Caenorhabditis elegans: one gene and its partner. The protein of the gene in region 1 interacts with the protein of each later gene in a pairwise test. Each region holds a gene or a part of one and is shown in the gene's direction. Other genes may lie near its edges.

Evidence for each region.
Region 2: the proteins of plk-2 (region 1) and brp-1 interact in a two-hybrid assay, tested with the Caenorhabditis elegans proteins (one study listed by BioGRID).

Annotation. Positions count from the first base shown.
Region 1 is NC_003279.8:2,755,081-2,759,926, reverse strand, and holds plk-2 (Serine/threonine-protein kinase plk-2), read left to right. Parts: upstream 1-1,722; coding exon 1,723-2,034; intron 2,035-2,090; coding exon 2,091-2,382; intron 2,383-2,430; coding exon 2,431-2,543; intron 2,544-2,833; coding exon 2,834-3,268; intron 3,269-3,316; coding exon 3,317-3,760; intron 3,761-3,806; coding exon 3,807-4,109; 3' UTR 4,110-4,302; downstream 4,303-4,846. Other genes in the region: Y71F9B.9 (3-hydroxyacyl-CoA dehydrogenase), read left to right, coding at 1-198, 245-614, 683-853. UniProt on the Caenorhabditis elegans protein: Serine/threonine-protein kinase which plays a role, during oogenesis, in chromosome pairing and synapsis, by facilitating the recruitment and attachment of meiotic chromosomes to the nuclear envelope during prophase.
Region 2 is NC_003281.10:12,019,022-12,025,856, forward strand, and holds brp-1 (uncharacterized protein), read left to right. Parts: upstream 1-1,530; coding exon 1,531-1,608; intron 1,609-2,295; coding exon 2,296-2,475; intron 2,476-2,532; coding exon 2,533-2,778; intron 2,779-3,122; coding exon 3,123-3,569; intron 3,570-4,507; coding exon 4,508-4,715; intron 4,716-4,768; coding exon 4,769-4,959; intron 4,960-5,846; coding exon 5,847-6,155; 3' UTR 6,156-6,300; downstream 6,301-6,835. Other genes in the region: Y79H2A.12 (Serpentine Receptor, class BC (Class B-like)), read right to left, coding at 6,538-6,647.

The DNA of each region.
Region 1 (4,846 bases):
CCTTCGAGTTTCTACCACTACATCGTTGAATGAGGTTATGAAGAATGCAATTTATATGCAGGAATCTGCACTTGAAGATTTAAATTTTCGAATTCAATTCTACAAAGTTATTGATGAGATCGCGGATCCTACAACGATCCTTGCAAGTAGTACGTCAACAATTCCAGCGTCCAAGTTCACTGATGGTCTGATAAATAAGTAAATAGACTTCTTTGTTATCTTATTTCTATTAACATTAATTCAGGGAACGTTGTCTTATCGTCCACCCCGTCAATCCTCCGCTCTTCCTTCCTCTTACCGAGCTTGTTCCTGCTCCGTGGACCTCACAGGATACTGTAGATAGAGCTGCAGAGATCATGCGATCTGTGAAGCAGGAGCCGGTGAAGCTGAAGAAAGAAGTTTTGGGATTCGTTGTGAATCGTCTACAATTCGCTTTGCTAGCAGAAACCTGGCGTTTGGTAGCCGATGGCGTCATTGGCGTGAATGATGTGGATGCGGTGATGTCAGCTGGTCTAGGGCCGAGATATGCGTTCAATGGGACTTGTGAAACGGTTCATTTGAACGCGTTTGGTGTCAGAGATTATTTTAAAAGATATGCGGCTGGAATTACGGCGGTAAGGAGCTTGAAGCTTGTGCTTTTTATTTTTATTTTATTTATTTTTATTTCCGCTAGCATTTCCAGGTCCTGAAGGATATGGGGCCGATTCCAGATTTCACAGACGAGAAAGTCATTAATAAGCTTGAAGAAGAGCTGGAGCCGAAAATGAGCACTTTGAATATTCGAAAACATCAAGCGGAGAGAGAAGAGAAGCTCGTGGAAATTGCCAAGCTGAAGAAGGACCTGAATCTTTAATTTTTCCTCTTATTGAATTTATTTTGTCAATAAATGCACAAAAATACTCCCTTTTTTTGAGATATTTATGACATATTTCATTGCGCAAAAATGTCGTAACAAGATACAAATCTATGTAACAGCAAAAATACGATAAAAATCACGCGAAGGACACACAGTTGACCACTAAACCGGTAATTACATGCACGGGAATTGATAATTATAGATTTTGTGTTTCAAAATGTTTTGCAAAATTCAATGGAAACATTTTGCAATCATTAAATTAATTAATTATGTAATTCGATTTTCAGAAAAATCAATAATTTTCGAGGCTCGTAAATCGTTCGGACTACCGTACCCAGGCGCGATCGTTGCGAGACCCGCGCGCGGGCAGCTTTGTTTTTTGAAAAATCACACGTGTTTTTCGTTGATTTTCTCCTAATTTTCGTTTTAAAATGGGAAATTCATCGATTTTTCGAGATATTATCAACGAATTCTGGTATAAATCCTTCTTTACCCCGTCAATTTTATAATAAAAAGTTGTTTTTCAACCCTGAAAACGAAAAAAGCACTAAAATGAACATTCTCGCGTATATTAAAATTAGAAAACGGGATAGAAAAGGGTATTTGAACCCTATTTCCGTAATTTTTGTGTCCTTTTCCCGTCAATATATCATGATAATCACTGAAATGGCCCATAAACACAGCTGACAATTTATCATTGTTCTCGTTGTTCTTAGCCTGGCGCTGTCGGCGCATTCCGGGTGAAGGTCGGTGCTAGATTAATTGCCTTTTTCCGTCGTTGTTCATTTCTTTTCGCCGTGTGACATTTTTTTTTTCTCGTGTTCCTCTTACTTTTTCAAATTTCACAGTACATTTCGACTTTTCAGATGCAGCGTGTACAGCCGTCTGCAGCAAGGGTAAAGTCCCAGAAGAAGGAGAAGGCGCCGCCAGATGTTCCAGACGTGATTCTCGATGGAGAACGCAAGACTCGTTATGAAAAAGGCAAATTTTTGGGAAAAGGAGGATTCGCACATTGCTACGAGCTGCGGAACAAGTCTACAGGCGAGCTGTTTGCTGGAAAAGTCGTCCCGAAAGCGCTGCTTATCAAGCAGTATCAGAGAGACAAAATGGCTCAAGAAGTGCAGATTCATAGGAACCTCCAACATCGCAATGTTGTGAAATTATATCACTTCTTCGAGGTTTGTACATTATTAATTAGGTATTAATTAATTAATTATTTTTAAAAAAATTCCAGGATAAATCAAACGTCTACATCACGCTGGAATTGTGTCCAAGAAGATCGTTGATGGAGCTGCATAAGCGACGAAAAGCGGTCACAGAGCCTGAAGCCCGCTACTTTACATATCAAATCGTGGAAGGTGTGCTCTACTTGCACAATTTAAAGATTGTACATCGTGATTTGAAGCTCGGAAATCTCTTCCTCAATGATGAATTGCAAGTGAAAATCGGCGATTTCGGGTTGGCAACAACTTGTGATAATGATGAGAGAAAGAAGACACTCTGTGGAACTCCAAATTACATTGCACGTATGTTTCACGCAGAATCGTTGCAAAAATCGAATATTTATTTTTCAGCTGAAGTTTTGAACAAAATCGGGCACTCCTTTGAAGTCGATTTATGGGCGATTGGTTGCATTCTCTACATTCTTCTTTTCGGCCATCCGCCATTCGAGTCGAAGAGTTTGGAGGTAAAGAAGCAGCAATGAGGCGGCACGGTTTCTCCGATTTTATTGTTTCATGTCCTTTTTTGAAACGTTATCCTATTTTATGCTAAATTGGTTGTAAAAACATGAAATATCCTCACAATCTGATGAGAATTTGATTGGATAACATTTTCATCTGAAAATGATGATAAAAAGAAACTTTATTGAAAAAAAAAACAACTAAAAAATGAGGAAAAAAACGTTGCCGCAGAGTTGCGAAATTACGCCACGCCTATATTTCTTTGCGGCAAAATTCATCATATTTCATATTTCAGGAGACCTATTCGCGCATCAAAAACAACAACTACGTCATCCCAACATCGGCGAGTGCTGCAGCATCTCAACTCATTCGTGTGCTTCTTGACCCAGTGCCGAGTCGCCGTCCAAATGCCAGAGCTGTATGCCGAGATCACTTCTTCAAATCCGGCTTCATGCCTGCTCGTCTTCCAGTTTCGTGCCTCACGATGGTCCCACACTTAAACGATGATGAATACGCAGAGGAAAATGTGTCTCCAAGTGGCACGATCGATCAGCGTGGTCCGCACCAAGCTGGTAGATCCGGACTTTCTGCGATTCCGGCTCATCTCGTGTCGAGAAATTCTGAACGGCAGCAAACTCACCGAATGGAGGCGTACCGACAGCCGACTGACTGCTATTTGTCGAATTTACTCGCTCAAGTCAACGATTTATTGGCTACGCCAACCGCAGATGTAAGGAAATGACATTTTTAATTTAAATAGCAAAAATTTTACTTTCAGATTGATGATGCAGAAGCCGCTCTAGACTCGTATCAATCGCCTGAAGCTCTTCCCGTGTTCTGGATTTCCAAATGGGTTGACTACTCTGATAAGTATGGAATCGGTTATCAGCTTTGCGATAATTCGGTTGGAGTACTTTTCAACGATAATTCAAGAATCATGCTGGACACTGCTGGCACCCAGCTGACATATATTGAGAAAACCGAGAAGGAGCACTATTTCGACATGGAAAGCGCAATACCATCGGGCCTACAGAAGAAGATGACACTTCTCAAGTATTTCCGATCGTACATGAATGATCATTTGTTGCAAGCAGGACAGCAAGTTACTCGGAAAGTAGGAGACGATTTGGCTCGCCTTCCGACGCTTCGTGTCTGGTTCCGAACAAAGTCGGCAATTGTGCTTCATCTCTCCAACGGCACTGTTCAGATAAACTTTTTCAATGTAAGAGTTCTCGTTAATTTTAATATAACAATTATTATTTTTTCAGGATCACATTAAAATGGTGTTGTGTCCACTCATGCAAGCTGTCACCTTCATCGATGAGAACAAGCGCATGTTCACGTACAAATTTTCACACTTGGCTGAAAATGGATGTCCGGAGAAGTTCCTCCATCGAATTCAATACGCCAAGTGTATGATCCAACGACTCGTCGAGGAACACACGAAAGAGGAGACGAAACACAATGCACCGGCGGCCAATGCAGTACGCCTTCCATCGACTTCCAGCAACGTCCGTTTGGAATCTGCAGCAGATATCCAGCCGGCTTATCCATCATCCTCGCGTCGCTAAGAAAATCGATCTGCAACAAATTGAGCTCATTTCCCCTTACCGGTTTTGATATTTCTCTGATCAATACACTTTTATGTCCGTGTTTGTAATCAATTTTATCCAAGCAAATTGCCTTCCTTTTGTATTGCCTTTCTTTTTTATTTTTAACGTTTATTTTTCCCCTTCCCCCTCTCGTATTAAATATTCATTTCGTCTCTCTATGTATGTCACTTCCTAATTTAGAAGAGAACGAACAAACATTCGGGTGTCATCATGCTCATCAGCCGGGGGGTGGTGGGTAATCGCATTTGTCTCCATGTTCCACTTCATCAATTCATTTTGGAGCCCGAATTTATTCACATGTACCCCCCCCCCCCCCCCATTTATTAAGTTCAATTCCAAACTTTTTTTCCAGAAAAATCTACGAGCAAGACGAGGAGAAAACATTATTTTCAAATCGTATCAAGCACTTCTCGTTCTTTACTTCCGTCGTGTATGTGCCTACTTCGTCAAATCCGATTCACCTCGTTTTCGGATTGCCCTTTTCTTTCCCGCTTCACTCTCTCTCTTCAAAAAAGATACGAATCCGTGCTCCTCCGTAGTTTTGTTTACCGCAGTGTCTCCTTCAGAGAGGTCTCGTAACTGTGTAAACTTGTTTTATGATGATTTCCCATATATATATATATATATTCCGCCGCTCACTAGAGATTACGATGCCGTCGTGGGAATTGAAATTTTATCAGTTTTCGAAGGCTCGA
Region 2 (6,835 bases), on another chromosome or scaffold:
GGAGAATATTTAAAATTGTGGCAACCACATTAAAAACCGATAATAACTTATAATAGGACAAAAATAATTTGGAATATACCGTATTTCCTCTTTTAGTTTTGCACCCCTTTGCTCAACTTTGACAGCTCATATCTCATTTTGTTTTGAACATATAAATAATTAACAAACTACAAACTATAGAAAAACATCTCACAAAAATTTTATCAGTTGACAACTTTTCTATGGAACAAAGAACTACTGAGATATGAGCTGTCAAAGTTGAGCAAGCGGGTGCAAAACTAATAGAGGAAATACGGTATGTATCGTAAACTTCTGTATATACATACTTCCCTGTTAGTGTTGCATGTATCAGGGTTGGGCGGTAAATAATTTTTCCGCCAAATTGGCGAATTGCCGGAATTGAAATTTTCAGCAAGTCGGTAAACCGGCAAATTGCCGATTTGCCGCATTTTCCAGAAAAACGGCAATTGTCGGACAGATTGTGGTTTTGCATTTTTTTTTTGTTCGAAATTTCGTGTTTCACTATCAGTCTCATAAAAAAGCCCTCTAAAAACTTCCGGCAAATCGGAAATTTGCCGAAAATCGAAAATTCCGGAATATCAGCAAACCGGCAGTTTGCCGCCCACCAATACTAGTTCTAAATGAATATTTTTTAGAGCAAACGGGCTTTTTCTCACCAATTTTTTCGTTTTAAGACAGTTCTCGATATGAGTTTAACTAACTAAAAATCACAAAATTTACAAAAAAAATTATTATAACTCACATTTTTTAAAAATCATGCAGAGCGCTAAAAATACCAAAAATCATACTAAAACATTTCAAAAAAATGTAGACATTTTTTCGAAGAATCTGCAGCATGTATGAATATTTCAAAAATAATTAAAGCATAAAACTGGAATCAGAACTTTTTTTTTAACTCAAAATGAAAAATGTTCCGAAATTATATTAATAGCTTTACTATGATATTTGTTCATTTTAGGCCGTACTCCACCTTGTATGCAGGCACATTAATATTTATAATAAGAGAAAAATAAACCCTCCGCATTTGAATTAACACATCCTACCTATTTTTACCTGAACCATCAAACTTTGTATATTATACTCTGCCCTTAAACCCTTGCTGCAAAAAATGGAAAAGAAATCAAAAATCAAAGTATCCTTTATCATTTTAAAATTTTTCACAGAAATCTTTATCATCATCTGATCGAGATTTTCTGGTCAAAAACAAAAACGAATGACGTCATTCCTCTCTCAAGTGTACAGTAACCAAGTGGCCGGCTATTTTAAAAACTCGTTTTGTGTGTTTCTTCAAAACTTGGTGTCACTTCCTATCAAAACATCGGGAGATCATTTTTTGTTCATTTTCCTACACCGCGCGGAAGAGTCGTGAATGCCAACCTGTCAAAAATGTTTAATGCTCCGCGAGAGAAAGTGAGCCGCTTCTCTAATTCTCCTATTGTGCGCATTGATCTCTTCTCTTTTTTTTGTTTTTGTCTTTTACTCGAATATCTAATCAAGAATCATTTACAGATGACCAAACTAGGCGCACAGCCCGGCGTTCACGGGAGTGAGGACGTTGAGAAGGAGTCTATCAAGATCGATCCAAAAGTGAGTTTCTATTAAAAATATTCAAATTTTCTGAGAACTGTTTTTAGTGCGAAGTTCAAATTTTCTCATAAAAAAATTTCAGCTGGAAATTCGAATTTTTTTTAAGAGATCACGTTTTGGCGCGAATTACAAATTTTATGAGTAACAAGTCGTAGTGTCAGAGTGTCCCATTTCGGCTTGATCTACATAGATCTACAAAAAATGCGGGATTTCAGACGCAGGCTTCTCAGCTGATTTCGCATGGTTAAGAACATGGCTGACGTCATGTTTTTTGGGCAAAAAAGTTCCTGCATTTTTTGTAGATCAAACCGTGATGGGGCAGCCCGGCACCACGTGTAAAAACAGTTTGCCTCGAAATTCAAAATTTTTCACAAAAAAATTTTAGCTGGAAAATCAAATTTTCTGAGAAAACGTATATTGGCGCGAAGTTCAAATTTTATTAGAAATTTTTTTGGCGCTAATTTAAAGTTTTATGAGAAAATACATTTGACTCGAAATTCAAACTTTATGAGAAAACGTATTTTGCCGCGAAATTTAAATTATCCGAGAATAATTTTTGGCGCGAAATTCAAATTTTCTGAGAACATTTTTTGGCGCGAAATTCAAATTTTCTCACAAAGAATATATTCGGTAACAATAATAATAATAACGTTAGTAGAAATATCAACAAAATCTGAATTATTCCAGGTGTTCACAGTCCTCCAGCCCACAGTGATCCCAATGCCGGCTCCACCAATGAAGCCTGCTCCATCGCCAGCTTTCCAGGCGATGAGAGCATGCTTCCATTGCATGTTCTTTGCCACGTGTCTTTTGCTGGTGACACTCATCGGTTTCTACTTCCTCGCCGCTACTCCTGATCTCTTCAAGGTACAGGGTTTTTTTTTAATTTTAAGCTTTTTTAAACTTAATTAATTGATATTCCAGAAAACCGAAACATCCGTGAACAAGCCACAAATGGAGGCACTTCTAGCTCAACCAATTGATGGATCATCTGAAAAGACTATAAACTCTGCGGAAAATCCAGGAATGATGGCAATTCCCTTGGCTCGGGTAGTTGTAGTGGAGGATATTTCGAATAATGAAGGTCAAAAGAAGACAACTGTTGATGGATCAGTTGAGGAGAAGTCCTCTACCAATTTGGATCGCCCACTTCATCCAGATGAGATTGAGGTTAGTTACCAAATTATACCATATATATACATAAATATGGATTTGTATATATATATATATATAAATATATATATATATATATATATATATATATATATATATATATATATATATATATATATATATATGCATATGTAGGGCTTCCATAGACAGGCGCGGTTCCAGGGCCTGCCTGAAGGGAATGCCTACCCGCCTCAAGCCAGCTAAACTGCTTTAAAAATTTTAGGCCATTTTTTGAGCTGCCATAACTTTTTTTTCAAGAGGTTTTTAAGAAGTTTCATTAAGAAATTCGATATTTTCAGACAATTTTGAGTCTAATAAATCAATAAAAGCAATTTTTTCAGCAATACCGAATGATGGAGGCCCGCCAACAATTCCAACAAATAATGGAGGAACGTATGTACATGCAACAAATGATGGCAATGCGAATGATGAGAATGAGAAGACTTCAAGCCGCCTACTACCAACAACAACAAATGAAGATGGCCTACATGCAACAACAACAGCAACAGATGCAGGAAGAGGCCGCCCGTCAGCAATGGGCCGAGAGATCCCGCTATGAAGAGGAACAACGTCGTCAGTACGAGGCTCAACAGACCTATGCTCAACAGCAGCGTGCTCAAGCTTTCTGGCAACAACATCAGTTGGAGATGCAGGCTCAGACTCAGCAGGCTCAGGCCCAGGCCCAATGGCAACAGCAGGAGCAACAGCCACAGGAGCAGCAGAGACAGAGATTCTGGCCAAGACCAATGATGCATCAGCAACAATGGGAGAGACCAACTGTCTGGCAGGTAAGGCGATTTGTAGATTTTTAGATGATGGGCTACGAATTTTTTGGCATTTGGATTTTAGACACATTTTCCATTTTGAAAAATTTGAATTTTTGCTTTTTTTTTTCATAATTTTTTTCAAAAAACTTCGAAAATTTTTCGTCGTATTTGGATCAGGGGTGGGCGGCAATTGCAGTTCGGCAAATTTTTTTTGAGTAAATTGGCAACTGAAAATCGGCAATTTGCCGGTTAGCCGATTTGCCGGAAACTTTTGATTCCGGCAACTTGTCGGTTTTCCGGGAATTTCCAATTCCGGTAATTTGCCGATTCGCCTGAAATTTTCAATTCCGACAGTTTTCCGATTTGCCTGAAATTATCAATTCCGGCATTTTGCAGATTTGCCGGAAATTGTAAATTTTGGCAATTTGCCGATTTGCCGGAAATGTTCAATTCCGGCAATTTTTAGATTTGCCTGAAATTATGAATTCCGGCAGTTCGCCGGTTTGCCGGAAATTTTCCATTCCGGCAGTTTGTCGATTTGCCGGAAATTTTCAATTCCGGAAATTTGTCAATTTGCATGAAATTTTTAATTCCGGCAATTTGCCTGAAATTATCAATTCCGGCAGTTTGTCGATTTGCCGGAAATTTTTAATATCGGCAATTTGCTGATGTGCCGGAAGTTATCAATTCCTGCAATTTGCCGATTTGCCTGAAATTTTCAATTCCGGCAGTTTGTCGACTTGCCGGAAATTTCAGTTCCGGCACTTCGCCGGTGTGCCGGAAAATCTTAATTCCGGCAACTTGCCGATAAGCCAGAGATTGTGAATTCCGGCAATTCGCCGGCTTGCCGAAAAAAATCGTTTGCCGCCCACCTCTGTTTTTTGCTTAGTTTTCGGGATCTGAAACCGATAAAAATTTTCACTATTTTTTTTGTCAAAAAACCATCAAAAAAATTCCAGCAACCACCCCAACAATTCTTCTTCCCATCCCAACAACAACAGCAGCATCAGCAGCAACCACAACAGACCCAACAACCTGAGGACCGTTTCCCACAGGCTCCACAATTCTTCCAACCAATCCCACAACCATCAGTTCACGATAAGATCTACGAGGAACTTCAGAAGAAGTCGCAGAACATTCCAGTCAACGCACCAACTCGTCAAATCTGTTAGTTGTTTTTTTTGCAAAAAGCCCAAAAATTTCAATTAATCTTGTATCAGGGACAGCAATCACTCCAACTCCAGCTCCAGAAGCTGCATCTGGAACTGCTGACGTCACAGCTTCACCCATCAACACTGCATTCCCAGCAGTTGTCACGAGCAGCACACCAATGCCAGAGGATGCCGCTGAGGTTTCTGATACTATTCTCAGAGATATCTTCTCAGCTTTCGATGAGCAAAAGAATTCAGAGGTTTGTACATCAGGAACATGTTGGTTCGGCAAATCGGCAAATCGGCGAATCGCCGGTTTACCAATTTGCTGCCGATTTGCCGGAAATTTTGCCGATTTGCCGGAAATTTTCATTTTCGGCACTTTGCCAGTTTGCCGATTTGCAGGAAATTTTCTATTTCGGCAACTTGCCGGTTTGCCAATTTGCCGAAAATTTTCAATTCCGGCAATTTGCCAATTTGCCGGAAGTTTGAGTTCCGGCAATCTGTCGATTTTCCGATTGACCGGAAATTACAATACCGGCAGTTTGCCAATTTTCCGGAAATTTTCATTTTCGGCACTTTGCCAGTTTGCCGATTTGCAGGAAATTTTCTATTTCGGCAATTTGTCAAAAATTTAAGTTCAGGCAATTTGCGGATCTGGTTCCAGCAGTTTGCCGATTTGCCAAAAGTTTTAATTCGGGCAATTCACCTATTTGCCGAAAATTTCAATTCCGGCTCTCTGCCGGTTTGCCGAGTTGCCGGATATCAATTTGCCGGAAGTGTTTAGAAAGATTGTTTATTTATATATAGTCGGCACGGTACAATTTTGCCGACTAATATTGTAATTCTGAAGTTCTGAAATTGCCAAAAAAAAGTGCAAAACCACAATTTGCCGGAATTAAAATTTCTGGCAAATCGGCAAACCGGCAAAAATTTGAATTTCAAAAAGGCAAGTGTTTCCGTCTTATAAAAAATTTCTCTAAAAATTTCCGGCAAATTGATGTTCGGTAAACGGCAAATCAGCAATTTTCCGAAAATCAAAATTTCCGGCAAATTGACAAACCGGCAATTTGCCAAATTTGCCGAACGGCAATTTCCGGCCCACCCCTGTTTTGTGCTCACTGAGGCATAATGAGTAATATTCCAGGCGGCCAACAAAGAGCTCAACTCAGCCACCCCATCAACCACCGAAGAGCCAGAACTCGAAGGAAAGGGAGCAATTGTGATTGAGGACAGCTTCCCAAGAATCGAAGAACGCACCACAACACCTGAACCAATGGAATCTGAAGAAGATGCTGAACATACATCATCTGAAGATAATCATGAGAAGGAGTTGGATCCATTCGCAGCTGTTCTCAAATTCTTCGAGAACAATCCACCACGTGAGGCTCTCGAGGCAGCAGGGGCTGAGACAGCAGCAACCACTCAGAAACCATTGAAACCACTGATTGTTTGAGAATTTTAATTTTGAGCTGAGCTAAAAAAAAATAATTTTCGAATGTAATAATTGTTATACAATTCGTCCTCCCCCGATTATTTTCCATCATCATCATCATCCCATCTTTTACGCGTGCAGGTTTGTAAATAAAATTATTCGCTGTTGAATTTGTATTTGCAAATCAAGAAAAAAAAAGTATTTATTTCAGAACGTGTGGTGTCAGAGTGTCCCATGTTGGTTTGATCTACGTAGATCTACAAAAAATGCGGCAGAGTTCTCAACTGATTTCGCATGGTTAAGAACGTGCTGACGTCACACTTTTTTTGGCAAAAAATTGCCGCATTTTTTGTAGATCAAACCGTGGTGGGACAGCCTGGCACCACGTGTTTCCAAGGAACTTTCAAAACTTCATCACATTTGTTAAATCCGACTGTCTAACCAGCATCCCATTCTCGATTCGTTTTGCATAGACGTAACATCGATTGATTAGAATGAATTTGATTATTGATACTGAAAAATTTTTAAACAATTTTTCGCTTTAAATTACAGAATATACGCCTAGAATATATGACCAAATATGACTGTGAAAATTTTTTCAAAAATGTCCTAAACTTTTAGTGAATTTTTACATATTTCAAAATTCATAGAAACGACCGAATTAAATTTGAAACATTTGAATTCCCGCGCAAATGAGTGAC